Saccharomyces cerevisiae S288C: one gene and its partner. The gene in region 2 interacts genetically with the main gene of each other region. Each region holds a gene or a part of one and is shown on either strand. Other genes may lie near its edges.

Evidence for each region. A genetic interaction does not mean that the proteins touch.
Region 1: of ALD2 (region 2) and ARO10, changing one enhances a phenotype caused by changing the other (phenotypic enhancement), as found in Saccharomyces cerevisiae (one study listed by BioGRID).

The regions. Positions count from the first base shown.
Region 1 is NC_001136.10:1,229,618-1,235,817, reverse strand, and holds the start of ARO10 (phenylpyruvate decarboxylase ARO10), read right to left. Parts: upstream 1,601-6,200; coding exon 1-1,600. Other genes in the region: SDH6 (Sdh6p), read left to right, coding at 2,301-2,540; GTPase-activating protein RGA2, read right to left, coding at 2,622-5,651. UniProt on the Saccharomyces cerevisiae protein: One of five 2-oxo acid decarboxylases (PDC1, PDC5, PDC6, ARO10, and THI3) involved in amino acid catabolism.
Region 2 is NC_001145.3:597,715-606,789, forward strand, and holds ALD2 (aldehyde dehydrogenase (NAD(+)) ALD2), read right to left. Parts: upstream 5,369-9,075; coding exon 3,848-5,368; downstream 1-3,847. Other genes in the region: CEP3 (Cep3p), read right to left, coding at 1-1,444; aldehyde dehydrogenase (NAD(+)) ALD3, read right to left, coding at 1,638-3,158; EAR1 (Ear1p), read right to left, coding at 6,154-7,806; HOT1 (Hot1p), read left to right, coding at 8,267-9,075. UniProt on the Saccharomyces cerevisiae protein: Cytoplasmic aldehyde dehydrogenase involved in ethanol oxidation. Required for pantothenic acid production through the conversion of 3-aminopropanal to beta-alanine, an intermediate in pantothenic acid (vitamin B5) and coenzyme A (CoA) biosynthesis.

The DNA.
Region 1 (6,200 bases), on a different chromosome or scaffold from region 2:
CTTCTAGTGGAATATTGCACTTCAGAATGGTGCTCAGTTCTTGGATTGTCATCTGTGCTGCACCGTCACCTTCAAACAAAATTAATCTTGGCTTATAGTCCTCTTTTACGTTGCCACCATTGATGTGAGCGTTTGAGTGGTCTTGCATGGCAATTCCAACACCTAGGGCGGCAGGAAGGGCCATGCCAATGGAAAGGAAAAATCCTTGCGATATATATTTTAATTGCGAAGGAAACGCGAAATCACGAACAGAGAATTGAAAAGAGCCTGTTTCACAAACGACAACATCACCAGGGTTCAAAAATTTAGGCATCGTCTTTTGTAAGTGAACTTGTGTAATAATGCTTGATTGTCCATTGGTAGGATCTTCTAACCGCATTGTTTCGTTCGTATATTGAGTTACATTTGAATCATATTGCAAAGAAAGTTTAGAAACGTCAATGCGCTTGTATAGTTCTTTTAAAATAGGGGCAAAATTGATTCCTTTGAACATTTGCTCATTGCCCTGCCTAGTGTCCACAAGGCGAATATAATTCGGATGAAATTGAATGATTTTAGCATTTGGTTTATAAGTAAAAGTATAATGCCCATTATTAATTTCATTGATGTCGACTCCAAAATGCAAGACCAAGTCGCACAGTTCAAAATGTTCATAGACTTGTTTTAAACCTTCTTTACCATTATATTGACCCATATAAGTTGGGTTTGACTCATCAATTACAGATTTTCCCATAACAGTGGAAAAATTCCAAATCCCAGTTTTGCAGATAAGCTTGTTCAAAAAGTTACTCACACCATACCTATCAGTCAGTACGTCTCCAAGGATCGCAGGTGTTTTACTGGAATATATCCAACTAGTAATCTTGTTGATTATGTCAGACAATTGGTTTTCAGAAGGGTATACTATACAATCTTGTTGAGATATACGTGGAACATTAACCAAATTATCACATGTAACAGACATATCCGCAAAATCTGCAGGAACAAAAATATAACCAGGTTTAGAATACTTGTAAATATCGCGGATAACATTATCGACTTGGTCACATGCAGTTTCAATATCCTCCAAGTAGGCTACCGAGCAAGCGACTCTATCTTTTACCATATCATGATATACTTTATGATTTGGCCCTTTAAAATTTGAATCATGTAGCTGTGGGACCAAATGATGTAGGTTCCGATCACTAAAGTTACTTGAACGCGAATCTATGGACTTGGCCACACCAACAATGTGCAAAACTTTGACATTTTCAGCGAACGAACCGGCTATACCGTTCAAGGCGCTTAATTCACCAACGCCATACGTGGTTATTAAACAGCCAATCTTATTAGAGTAACGGGAATATCCGTCGGCCGCATAAGCGGCGTTCAGTTCATTACACGTGCCGACCCATCTTAGGCCAGCTGATTCAACACTAGGTGAATAGAGATATTCTAATAGAGATAAGTTGAAGTCACCAGGAACACCGAAAACTGATTTCGTATCGATGGACAACAATCTTTTAAATATGTATTCACCAAACGGAATTGTTGCTGATCGGTTGGAAACAAGGTGTCGTTCTTCTTGATTTACGAACTTTTCAATTGTAACAGGTGCCATGCTTAAGGGAGTTTCTTTGTTATCTTGTAAATAAACTTTACAGAAGTCGCGTCAACTTGTTTTGAGTATCAAGTTGAGAGGGTTGATCAGTTAAATATGTTTTATATCAGATTTTATGTAGTATTAATAAACGCAGAAAAAAAATGAAAGTGAGCTGCCGCTGTAGTGACGATGCAAACTAGCCCAGTTTATATCTTAAACTTTACTCAACACAATAAATAAGATGCCACTAACCTATTACATACCGACACTTACCGAAGGTATCAAAGCTCCGCCGCACAAAAGTACGACAAATGCTCAGCATGACCTCGGCAATTTTCGGTAAATGACGGCTATCCGCGGTTATCCCTCCCGGTAGGTAACCGACACTTTGGAGAGGATTCGCAAAGGCTCAAAGTAATATATGACGGCTTTTTCAAAAAATAGCCTAAGCCTACTACCAAATGTTAATAAGGAAGCTACATGAGGTGTACAAGCATCGAATTTTGGATTATCTTTTTCGCTAAGACGTTGTTGTACGCTTTCAATCCTGCTTTTTTAAATTTCGGTGGACGAACCAATCTAAAATGTAGTAAAACTGGTAGATGTTAATTAATTAACCTTGCAAAGCCGAAGAAAAAAAGGGGTTCGCCAAATTATTCTTAACAAAGATAATGTAGCTTAAACACACAAGAAGAAGAGGAGACGCAATACCAAGAGCATGCCTAAGAGATTAAGTGGGTTACAAAAAGAAGTCTTACACCTGTATAGGGCTTCCATACGAACGGCTCATACAAAACCAAAGGAAAACCAAGTTAATTTTGTGAATTATATTCATGAAGAATTTGGGAAGTATAGAAATTTGCCAAGAAAAGACTTCACCACCATTGAACACTTGTTACGGGTCGGAAACAAAAAAATTGCCACCTTTTCACACCCTGAACTGACGAATATACATTGAACTATTTTCTTACTTTATTCTTTTTTCATATGATTTCTTATTTAATCTATCCTATGTTTATTTAACTTTTGCAAATCTGTATTATGCTTGCTTAAATATGTCTCTATAGTTTCCAAGTATAAATTCCACGATATAATTCCTCTCCTTCATGTCCACAATATCTTTCTCGCCGTCAAAATCGTGGATAAGACTCGGTGCAAAGACCAACGACAAGTTATGTAAGTTCATTAAATTTCTTTCACTGCACCTTCGAACTTTGCCGATATGTGCTGCCAATACTTTCAATACTTCCTGATGCTCTACGGGTAAAATTTTGAAAATTTCAAGTAGGCTTTTGAGCACCATTTCATAAATAGTCACTTTTTGTGGTGAATCCAAAAACTTGTCGTTGTTTAATGGTAGCCTCTCAATTAGTTGGTTATTTCTAACTAGATCTATCAAGGCATCGTATATGGAAAATGATAAAACTGGATCTGGTAGTTTTCTCAAATATCGTTTTAATACGCTAGCCACTGCATGAATATCTTGATTCAGTAAAGCATTCAGTTTGGGACTTAATGTATCACTATGCAACGAATTATTCTGAGCGAATTCATTTTCGATCTCCTCAACCAAAGTCTGTGAGCCCGACTTTCTGTATAAGCCTTCCATGTTCAGGCCTATATCATCTTTTTCAATGCGATCAATGCAGCACCTGATAATTATTGGAACAGTACTTTTTTCATACGCACATCGAGCTTGTAGCGAAGATCCATATAAATGGGAACCATCAGGCGTATAATCTAATCTCTTTGGACTTGGCGACAGTGGTACTTTGCCTGGAGAAGGAAGCTCATCGTGTACTCGAATTAATTTCGGTGATGATATTTCTTTCTGTGCTATATTTGTCGTTCCGCCTGAAGATGAATTTGGCGAACGTTGCTGTGATTCTAGATCGCCTACCTGGTGATCCTTAGCACTTGAAAATATTTTCCAGAAGCGTGGTTTAGGACTGGCATTAGATATGCTCCCTTTTCTGTCGGAATTTGAACTTGGTGACTTTACAGTGATTGATGTTGCAATGTTTTCTTTTTGTTCTAAGGACTCCCGGGAAGATGCAGATTGCTTATCCTTTTCTCTTGTTAAATTGTCAACATCATTTAACAGCCTCTCTTTCGCTAATCTTAGATTTTCAACATCTTGTAATAATTTTTTCTTCGTACCTTCTAGTTCCCTCACATCTAATTTTAACTTCCTTAAAGTCAACTCAGTAAAGTAAAAGTCCTTTTCCAAGCTTGTAGCGCTTTCATCAGTAGCATCCACTTTCGTGGAATCGTCTTCCAACAATGCATTAGTGGATCTAGACGTCTGTAAGCTAGAAGATCTGTGGTGTGCGGACTCAGATGACAGAGATGGCCTCTTAAATAATGGCCCTGATTCCAAAGGCGGCGTACGGAACATTGCTATATGATGCCCCGAGCTTGAACTTGTAAATGAACCATTTATGCGTCTATTAGTGGCTGTATCATTAGAATTTTGCTTTTTGGATATACTGCCAAGGCTGCTTTGCGCTTTTTTGTGATTAAACTCCGGTACTGTAAAATTTCCATGTTGTGGTAGAGTATTGTATATTGTACTGTCACTTTGGCCTCTTGATACAGGATTTTTTTTGGCTTTTGATTTTCTTATATTTGTATGAGTAGAGGAAACACCCCAGCCAGAATGAGTGTCTGATTCCTGTATAGAAGTGCTGTGATGGGGATGCTTTGGGTCCAGCATTTCCGAAGTTTTACTTTTCAGGTTGTGAACAAAATTTTTGGACTTCAAAGAAAACGATCTTGAAAGTTTTTTGTTTGGAGAGGGTGCTACTTTTTTATGCGGCAATAAGTTATCTGCTGTTTGAGGCCTGCTGAAACTTCCATTATCAGACAAACGTAATGTCGATGAAGAGGTTGATGTTTTCATTTCTACGGTATCGGTTCTTGTAATCGGGGAGACATGATTCATAGATTTGGAAGTTGACGTTTGAATACCTTGAGATGATTTGTTATTTTCTTTCGTAGCTTCTGATAAAGTTAATGCCAGTCCATGCGGAGGTTCGACCTCTTCGTTCATTTGTACAGCCATAGGGCTGTTCAAAGGACTTGTAATTTTATCAGTGCTATTTCTGGGTGTGTTGACGATGATTTCATTCTCTTTGTTGTCTGTATCATCTTTGTCTGTCTCTTCTTTATCATAAATTGAAAAGAATCTATTCGCGTTCGAGTTCGAATTTGGGATCCTCGGATCCTTTACCACTATGGAATCTCGATTTGCTCTTTGTGGTTTTAATAGCCTATAGGTTACGTCTTCACCCATTTTGTTGATGTAGTCCTCATTATCCACCAAACTCTGCTCTTCAATGCTATTACTATCGTGTTCCAAAGTAGAGTTCAGAATGTCGTCAATAGAAACCGTCCTTGCGTGAGAAGATGTTTCCTCCCTGTCCTTGCTGTTATCATTATCATTATTGTCATTCAACGATGATTCATCTCTTTCTTGTGATACTAAAACTTGTGGAGTGAGCTGTTGATCCTCATTCGAGCTTACAAGGTTCTTACTTATTGCGGTGTTGTTTGTACTGACATCTGACTTACCATTTATTCTGGTGGGTGACAAGGGCCTTTTGACTGATCTTTCAGGAAGTTTTATGGGAAAATCTTCTTTCGATGAATTTTTTGTTTGATTTTCCAGTAATAGTTGTTTTTTTCTCAACAATTTCTCGTGACAATCCATACAACATAGTCCTCGTTTTGTCTTTGCATACTTTAAGTTCTTTATACGGTTGCTGCACCGACAGCATCTGAAACAATTGGAACAATAGGCCTCATTTGAGGAAGGCAGTATAATTGCTGTGTCGTCTATTTTATCGCCACAATTTGTACATTTATCTGAGCAGTCGTAACAAATTAATGTACCTATATCCAGAACCAAAAAGTCTGAATCTGCGTTCAATTTTTTGTCACATTTGTAGCATGTAAAGCACTGGTCATGCCATTTTTTGCTTTCTAATTCGTATACCTGGCTAGACGCGATTGATTTATTGCACCTCACACATAAAGACGATTGGTCATTAATAGGGTCAGCTGACATATTTTTTTCATCAAAATCTCCTTGCTCTTGAGATGCTACGTTATATTTCACTTTATTAAAAGTACAATGAACTCTTGGTAATAAAAGATAAGGATTAGAAACGCCAAGTATGCAAAGATGAAATGTTAATCAATAGGGGAGTCGACTGATCGATCTTCTGGCTAACATTCTCCAAGGAATGCCAATTTTCATATCTCGACCTGATACTGTTTACCCGAATGGGAAACTAAATTGACGTGCATTATCATTACAATTAAAAGTTACTGAAGCGATGCAACGATTTAAGCACAATTGAAGCGGCATAAATCGAATATCACTGTGGCTAATTAACTGGGTTATGTGTAGGAAATAAATGTTATTACGACTATAGGCCTTTCTTTTAGCCGTTTAATGTAAGATATTTCTATTATTAAAACATTTTACCCGGGGGCAGCTGTTCGTGTACAATGCCAAATAAGCAACGTCGCAGCAACCCATTCAATAATGCACAAGACGCCATATTAACGAGAAAATATGGCATTGCACAGTATAAGCAAAACAAGCAGAGAT
Region 2 (9,075 bases):
CAGCAGCCGATTCCACAAAAATTTGGTAAAAGGAGATGAAAGAGACCACGCGCGTAATGGTTTGCATCACCATCGGATGTCTGTTGAAAAACTCACTTTTTGCATGGAAGTTATTAACAATAAGACTAATGATTACCTTAGAATAATGTATAACCTTTAGTAGTGAATCTGCGGTATCATAATAAATGAGATACATCTTAAACAATTTCCAGGAAACAGTAGATATTTGAAAAAGTGCAATAAATTTTTGAAATCTGCTGTTATTTGATCTAAAATCTTCTTCCAACGAATCTACTTTGTATTGAAAAATATCGAGCTCCCTCCTTATAGCATCCAATGTTTTTAAGGGAGGTTTAGAACTCTTGTTCAAGTATTGATCTAAATCTCTGTCTAATGAGATGATTTTCCAATACAAGACCTCTGTGCTGTTTTCTTCCCTGTAAACATCAACGTTAGGCAAATCCTGCAAATATGCTGCATGTTGTAATAGGGAGGATACTTCTGTATGAAGTGCAATTGGTTTGCGTGGCCCCGATTGAAGATAATCGCATCCACACAGGCGATAGAATATTCTTCCCAAGGTTACTTTAGCGATGCTTTCAACGGGGTCATCATTAAGTAAAGGTCTAAAGTCATCCACATGAAAATTTTTAAAGGTATGGATGCACTGTGTTAGGAGCGAATTTGCCAACAACGGTTCATCGTAGGGGAAAGTTGTAGTGGCTAAAATCAGATATGCTTGAACGAGCCTTATATCGGGATGCGCCATGAAATCACATTGTTTCAATTGGAATAATGAGCAGCGTGCAAAATTTTGGCACATGACTAATTGCATACCATCTTCCCAATTGAGCCTTTTGTTGCTACCCAAATATTCATGGAGAGGATATACTGAAAATATTTCTGCTAACTTCTCGACTGGCATATAATAAATGCACATGGTAAAGACAGACCATATTAGTGCGTCCCAGTATTTGCCGTCTACACTGTGATTCTTGTCTGCCCTTCTATCCCAGTACTGTTCCACCCTCAAATATAATTCACTGATATCTCCAATGGAACCAAAATACAAAGCACCTAAGTTTTCCATAGCAAAGTTCATCAATTGGAATGATTGGTCTTTTTGAAGATAATTCATCCAAAACATACATTCTTCAGTATCAGTATCCAAATTAGCTGGTGTTCTAGTAAGATCTCTTTGTTTTGTTTTGTACAGCCCAATATTCGTTATCCAATATTCATAATTTTGCCAGAATAACAATAGGTCAGGGAGATATTCCTTGGAAGATGAAGCCGTTATTAGTTTTGTTGATTTCATACATTCGGAGTCCTGTCCTCTCTTCCTGCAGTTTCCACACGGTATCATACGATCACATTTGACTTTTCGCCTCGTACACACGGAACAGGGATGCTTGGATTTCAGTTGAGTGGTACGGTTAAACATTATTATTAGGATGCAAACTCGTGTTCGTAACTTTTGTCATCACCTGCTCTCTGAAGGTTGGTTATAATATTTCATTCTCTTACGCTTAGCTTACATGGCTGCGCGCACTTCATTTAAAGCCGTAAAAAATAAAGATTTCATAGAATATGAAGCTTTGAATCTCATGTAAACATTTATATAACTATGTAACGAATTATTTATCCAATGAAAGATCCACATGGACTGATTTTATTTGTAAATAGTTATCAACGCCGGTGTCGCCTGATTCTCTACCAATACCACTCATCTTAAATCCGCCAAAAGGAACTTTAGCTTCTTCTTGATTGGTTTGATTGATCCAAACAGTTCCTGCTTTAATATCGCGAGCAAACATGTGCGCTTTCTTGACATCTTTGGTGAAGACCGCAGAGGCGAGCCCGTAGCAAGTATCATTAGCCAGCTTCAGAGCGTCATCATAATTTGTGAACTTGCTAACAACCACAACCGGGCCAAATATTTCATCACGCAGCAACTTAGATGTTTCTGGTACATCAGTGAAGATGGTTGGGGGAATGAAGTAGCCTTTAGCTCCACCAATAGGAAATTCAGAGGTCTGGAACATGTCCAACTTTTCCTCCTTTTTACCACGTTCTATGTAACTTTTGATGCGGTCATACTGTGTACTTGATATAACTGGACCAACGATGCATTTCTCATCAAACGGATCAAATTTTCCTGCAACATCCCACTCCTTCTTTGCAGTTTCTTTAAACTTTTCAACAAACTTGTCGTAGATCGAACTTTGAACATAAACTCTTGAGTTTGCAGTGCAGATCTGTCCCGAATTAAAAAAAATACCATTTGCTACCCATTCTATAGCCTTATCAAGGTCTGCATCTTCAAATACAAGAGCAGGAGACTTACCACCGCATTCTAGTGTGATATCCTTAAGGTTCGATTGGCCGGAAGCTTCCAATACTGAGCCGCCAACCTTAGTACTTCCCGTAAAAGATATTTTGTCGATATCCATGTGGGTTCCTAAAGCTTTCCCCACAACGGAACCATAACCAGGAATGACATTGACAACACCAGGTGGAAAACCTGCTTTTTTAATTAAAGTAGCAAAATAAAGTAGAGATAGAGAGGTATTTTCAGCAGGTTTGATGATAACCGTGTTACCGGCCGCTAAGGCACCTTGCATTTTTCTACAAGCCATAGCTAGAGGATAATTCCATGGAACGATTTGAGCAACAACGCCAAAAGGAACTTTTAGAGTATATGCAAACTTGTTAAAAGTCAATGGAATGGTTTCACCCATATTGAACTTGTCGACCGCCCCCGCATAGTATCTTGTAAGTTCTATAATCTGGGCTAAGTCTTGTTTAGCATTGGAATGGAAAGGCTTACCAGCGTCTAAAGTCTCTAATGCGGCAAGTGTGTCTTGCTCCTCCTCAATAAGTTTTAATAAGTTTGAAAGATAAATACCACGTTGCTCAGAAGATGTCTTCGACCAAACGTTATCAAAAGCAGCCCTGGCAGCTTTCACAGCTTTGTCTACATCCTTTTCGTTAGCTGCTTGGAAGGATGTTATCGGTTCGCCAGTAGCTGGGTTCACAGTTTCGATGGTCTTTCCATCTGATGATGGACAAAACTCATTGTTGATAAACAACCCTAGCGGTTGCTTTAAAGAGATTTTCAATTGTGGGATTTCGATATCAGTATACAAGGTAGGCATTTTTCTTTTGGCTAATTTTCTAAATGTGTATAATCTATATCTCTATGATACAAGTCCAAGGTATAATTACCTGGCATGAGTCAAATTTATTCCCATCCAGATTTGCCATTTTATACAATTAGTTTCTGAGGTATGATCAGTTAAATCTACGCTATTCGTTTGAACAATCTCCCTGTCTCCTCCCTAAACTTACTAATTCCTTAACCCTTAGGGAGTTTAGCAATCAGCTTAAGAAGGGGGCTGATCAACAATCCGGTTCAAGTCTTGGATTAGCAGTAATGAAAATCCCTAAATGCACTAAAGGGCGTGGAAGAAAGGTACTGTAGAGTTCTAATAGTGATACTTTCCTTGTACTCCAGGGGGGGAAGGAAGAACAGACGTCATATGCAGAAAAAGAAAAAAAAAAGACGGAAGATCTACGTAATGGTGGGAATAGAGAAAACTAACACGCAAGTATAATTTCTTGACACAAAAATAAATCTCACTGAGTTTATAGCTCTATTTTTTTACCATCTTAAGGGATTTCTAGGACCTAGTAACAACAATTGTTCCGCATGCTGAAATAATGGTGCTTACAGTTTTATATCGAGTAGTGGACTACTACTGTTTGCTAGACTGTCAACATATTCATCCGTCGTCAGGCTAAGCTATTTAGGTACTTACGCACTTACATAATGATAACTATCACATTAGTTGTCCAAAGAGAGATTTATGTGAACTGCTTTTGTTTGAAGATAGGTATCAACACCACTTTGCCCCAGTTCTCTACCAATACCACTCATTTTAAACCCGCCAAAAGGAACGGTAACATCTTCATCGTTAGATGAGTTGATCCAAACAGTTCCTGCTTTAATATCGCGAGCAAACATGTGCGCTTTCTTGACATCTTTTGTGAAGACCGCAGAGGCGAGCCCGTAGCAAGTATCATTAGCCAGCTTCAGAGCGTCATCATAATTTGTGAACTTGCTAACAACCACAACCGGGCCAAATATCTCATCCTGTAACAGTTTCGATGTTTGCGGGACATCAGTGAAGATGGTTGGGGGAATGAAGTAGCCTTTAGCTCCACCAATAGGAAATTCAGAGGTCTGGAACATGTCCAACTTTTCCTCCCTTTTACCACGTTCTATGTAACTTTTGATGCGGTCATACTGTGTACTTGATATAACTGGACCAACGATGCATTTCTCATCAAACGGATCAAATTTTCCTGCAACATCCCACTCCTTCTTTGCAGTTTCTTTAAACTTTTCAACAAACTTGTCGTAGATCGAACTTTGAACATAAACTCTTGAGTTTGCGGTACAATTCTGTCCTGAATTGTAGAAAATGCCAGCTGCTATCCAATCGATAGCCTTATCAAGGTCTGCATCTTCAAATACGAGAGCAGGAGACTTACCACCGCATTCTAGTGTAACGTCTTTAAGGTTCGATTGGCCGGAAGCTTCCAACACAAATCCACCGACCTTGGTGCTTCCCGTAAAAGATATTTTGTCGATATCCATGTGAGATGCTAGGGCTTGGCCTACAAGTGATCCATAACCAGGAACGATATTGACAACACCAGGTGGAAAACCTGCTTTTTTAATTAAAGTAGCAAAATAAAGTAGAGATAGAGAGGTATTCTCAGCAGGTTTGATGATAACCGTGTTACCGGCTGCTAAGGCACCTTGCAATTTCCAACAAGCCATAGCTAGAGGATAATTCCATGGAACGATTTGAGCAACAACGCCAAAAGGAACTTTTAGAGTATATGCAAACTTGTTAAAAGTCAATGGTATGGTTGCACCTTTGTCAAACTTATCAGCGGACCCAGCAAAATATCTGGTAAGCTGTAAAATTTGTGCCAAATCACCTTTGGCATTTGAATGGTAAGGCTTTCCAGCGTCTAAAGTCTCTAATGCGGCAAGTGTGTCTTGCTCCTCCTCAATAAGTTTTAATAAGTTTGAAAGATAAATACCACGTTGCTCAGAAGATGTCTTCGACCAAACGTTATCAAAAGCAGCCCTGGCAGCTTTCACAGCTTTGTCTACATCCTTTTCGTTAGCTGCTTGGAAGGATGTTATCGGTTCGCCAGTAGCTGGGTTCACAGTTTCGATGGTCTTTCCATCTGATGATGGACAAAACTCATTGTTGATAAACAACCCTAGCGGTTGCTTTAAAGAGATTTTCAATTGTGGGATTTCGATATCAGTATACAAGGTAGGCATTTTTCTTTTGGCTTATTTTCACGATTGTTTTTGATGGACATGCAATGTAAAAATGATAGGAATGGGCCAAAAGTATTTTTAAGGATTCGCTCCCTTTATATGAACATTCTTGAGCAAAATTCGGGATATGATCAGTGAGTGTCGACAAGATTGCATCCCTAATGTTTAAACGAGTTAAAAAAACTCATCATTGGATAGGAGTAACCAATAAAGGGTATATGATTGCTATTATTAGTATCCAAAAGCCGCCGGGAACATCATAGGGCGTTAGCAAGTAAACGCATGGCACGATAATGGCAACCTTGTTTCTTCTGGCGGCAAAAGATAAGGCAATGCAAAATAAAAAACGAGAAAAAAAAAATGATAGAAGGGAAAGATAAGCAAATTTTCTTTCGAGCTGGAACGCTTCATTTTAATCTCACGCATTTGCAACCCATGCTGATGTCTGAAGCGCTGACAAATACTTCATACGTTCTTCTTGTGACACATTAAGAGGTAGCACGGAGGTGCAAGTAAAGATGGCAAAAGTACGGAAAGTAAGAAGGAAGTTTGCGGGTCAACCAGTTGCCCTTACTAGTGTACGTAAACATATGTATATATGTATGTAAATATCTATATGCTGCACTGCGATATCGAGTAGGTGATAGCGTTGAAACCCTCAATAAGGAAGAAAACGTTATAAATTGCAATGTTTTTAAAAAATGGTGGCTCTGCGTAATACAGCGCAAAAAAAGATAACTGACCGGGGCTAGTGTTTCAGCCTTACTATCTCATGCATTTTCGTATTATATGCCATGCATCCTGCTTTCGTAATCATCAAATTCTGAAAATTGTTCGGGATCTCTCTCGTGATCATTTTCATCTTCGTTATCATTATCAACACTATCGAAAGATGCTTCATCAGTAATTAAATTTCTGCTCGTTCCAATAATTCGTCCGCTTATTGCTGATTTATCATTTTTCGAATGATGTTCATCGTCCGAGTAACTTGGTGGTAGCATAGGTAAGGAATCTAGATTAATTTCCTCATTGATGATCTTCTTTCCAGTGGGAGGGGACATAGTGAATTCAAATCCAGGTGGTGGCGGTAATATTTCACCGTTTCTTATAATTATATCATCATTGAGATTTGTAGTACTACCAGCCGCAATATTGTCGCTATCACCGTCTGAAAAATCTTCGTCGAAATCATTGTCTTCACCACCGCTTTCTAATAGGGTATCTTTACCGTAGTCTTCGTAAGAAGGAGGAGGTAATTTAATGCCGTTTGACTTTGCGTATCCCCATTTTTTAACGTTTGCTTCTATATAAACAAAGCCATAAGTGCCGAAATTCACATGAATTTGACAAGGTACGTTGGAGCCAATGATCGGGTATAGGTATTGGAATTTCCAGCCGCGGATATGACCACCAACAGATTTTTCATTTAGTTTTTTTCCGTTCCTGGTGAAAAATACTGTTCCACTACGTGACCTATAGCCAATGCCAACAATGTCTCCCTTTTCACACTGTGGAAATAACGTTCTTAATTGCTCATTTAGTTTGAAGGAGTCATTAAATCTTCTGGCGCCGTTAGAATCGTATGCTATCGAATGGTGGTGTCTTCCCGGTAACCTGAAATATGGATAAGGCTGTGTGGAAAGACCAAATGAGATGACACCTTTCGATACATTTTCATCACTGTTTAGTGGGCCATCCGTTTCAAATATCTTGAATTCACAATAATATACTTTATTTATACACGGAATGGGTAGATTTGTGGATATAGAAGCATCATAATTATAATTTAGAAAAGAAACCTCTGTTTTATTTTCCACTATGACAGTATGGTTTGGCATATCAGGATTTGGGCTAAACTCCCATGCATAAGCCCCCTCTTCTTGAATATATTGCCTTGTTTGCTCGTTCATAATAGGGTCTTCACGGGTGGTGTCTGGATTGCTATCTTCGGACTGTTGTAAAAGTCCCTGGTTAAGCAGAAATGGTGGGTTCTGCTTGATATACTCCTCACCTTGCTTATAATAAAACTGCTCTTCAGGTGACAACTGTGCCAGCTTATCTCTTACTTCATCAGCATCGTCAAGATTGTTGGGCCACCTTAAACTCATGTTTTCCATTAATCTTCTGCTATGAACGTGTGCATTATTTTCGTCATAATCGCTGAATAAAGATATTCTTTGGCCAGGGCCATGCTCATTATAATATGCAGTTATAAGCCGCGTAGCTATCTGTTTTGTAAAAAAATAAACGATACAGATGACGATGTAGACCACGATTAAGGTTCCAAACGCAAACAACATTATATCCATGTTAAGTTCGTCAGTATCGTCTCCCCCATAAGATACATCGCCACGGGGGATCACCGAAGATCTACCACACCGTATTTGTCCGCTTATCGAACCGAGAAGCAGCGATTCTATCAGAAACTTGAATGACATTTGCTTTTTTATATAGAAAAAAAATTTGGCTCTCCAAACTTTAAGATTTTTTATAATTATTAACCAATGACAATATAGATAACTTGAAACAACTCTTGAAAATTTTGTAGTTAGGCACCAGTCCTTTGGTTTTTCAATGTTCTATAAAAAATCACTCCTCCATGCAGCAGTAAAGCGCTATTCTCAAAAATAGCTCAACCTGAGAGAGGAAGAAAGAGCAGTAGTAAATAGAGCAAGGTTCTTAAAGCCTGTATCAATGAAATTTTGTTATGGCGTTTATATGGATAACCTGGAATTTGCCTTTTTTCTTTATAGCGCACCGTTCCGAAGAAAAAAATAAAAAAAAAGGGCCGACGGAGGGTTAGGTCAAATTAAATATTGAGCTAGGTTTAGTTATCTCTTTTTTAGGTTTTTTATATACAAAAAAGATTATATTTAGGGTACATATGGCTGGAGCATAATGTCTGGAATGGGTATTGCGATTCTTTGCATCGTACGTACAAAGATTTATAGGATAACCATCAGCTTCGATTATTCTACACTGATGAGCCCTTTCTTCTTATTCTTAATGATGCCCACTACATTAAAGGATGGGTACAGGATGAATAGTCAAGTAAATGAAGATGCTATAGGTATCAATCTTGACCTCTCACTGCCCACTCACATTTCGCCTACGACTGGTTCAGAGAGCGCCAGTGGCAGTAACGCCAGTACACTTCGCAACGATGGAAATGCACTAGATGGAGGTCTTTTGAGGACTTCAGCAGCGATTTCAGCACCCACAGGTACCAGTCAACCAACAGAAACTATTGGTGAAAAACTGAGTAATGAAGAGCGGGTGAACTCGAATGTTTCCGCTTCGAACTCGACAACGGCGGGTACAGGGCGTATGTTAAGCCAATCCTTGACTAATGATTCACCGTCGAACGAAATATCGACGGATCAGTTGAAGATTTTTCAAAGAATGGACGAAATGAGTGCCCGAATGATTGAGATGGAGGAAAGCTTCAACAAGTTATCTAATAAGATCGCGGAACAGAATACAATGGTTTTAAACCTAAAACAAGATAACTATAAAGTTATGAACAAATTGAATATATTACTTAAGTTGGTTGCGCAGCCAAGCGCGCGCCCAAGCACAAACAATGCCCAAAATAAGCTTGCTATCGAATTGCTAAATTCGATATCAGCCGTTAGTAGTGCTTACTTGCAGAAAATGCAGAATAATGGCTCTGGTAGACAGCATACTGCTGATTTATGTACAGGAGA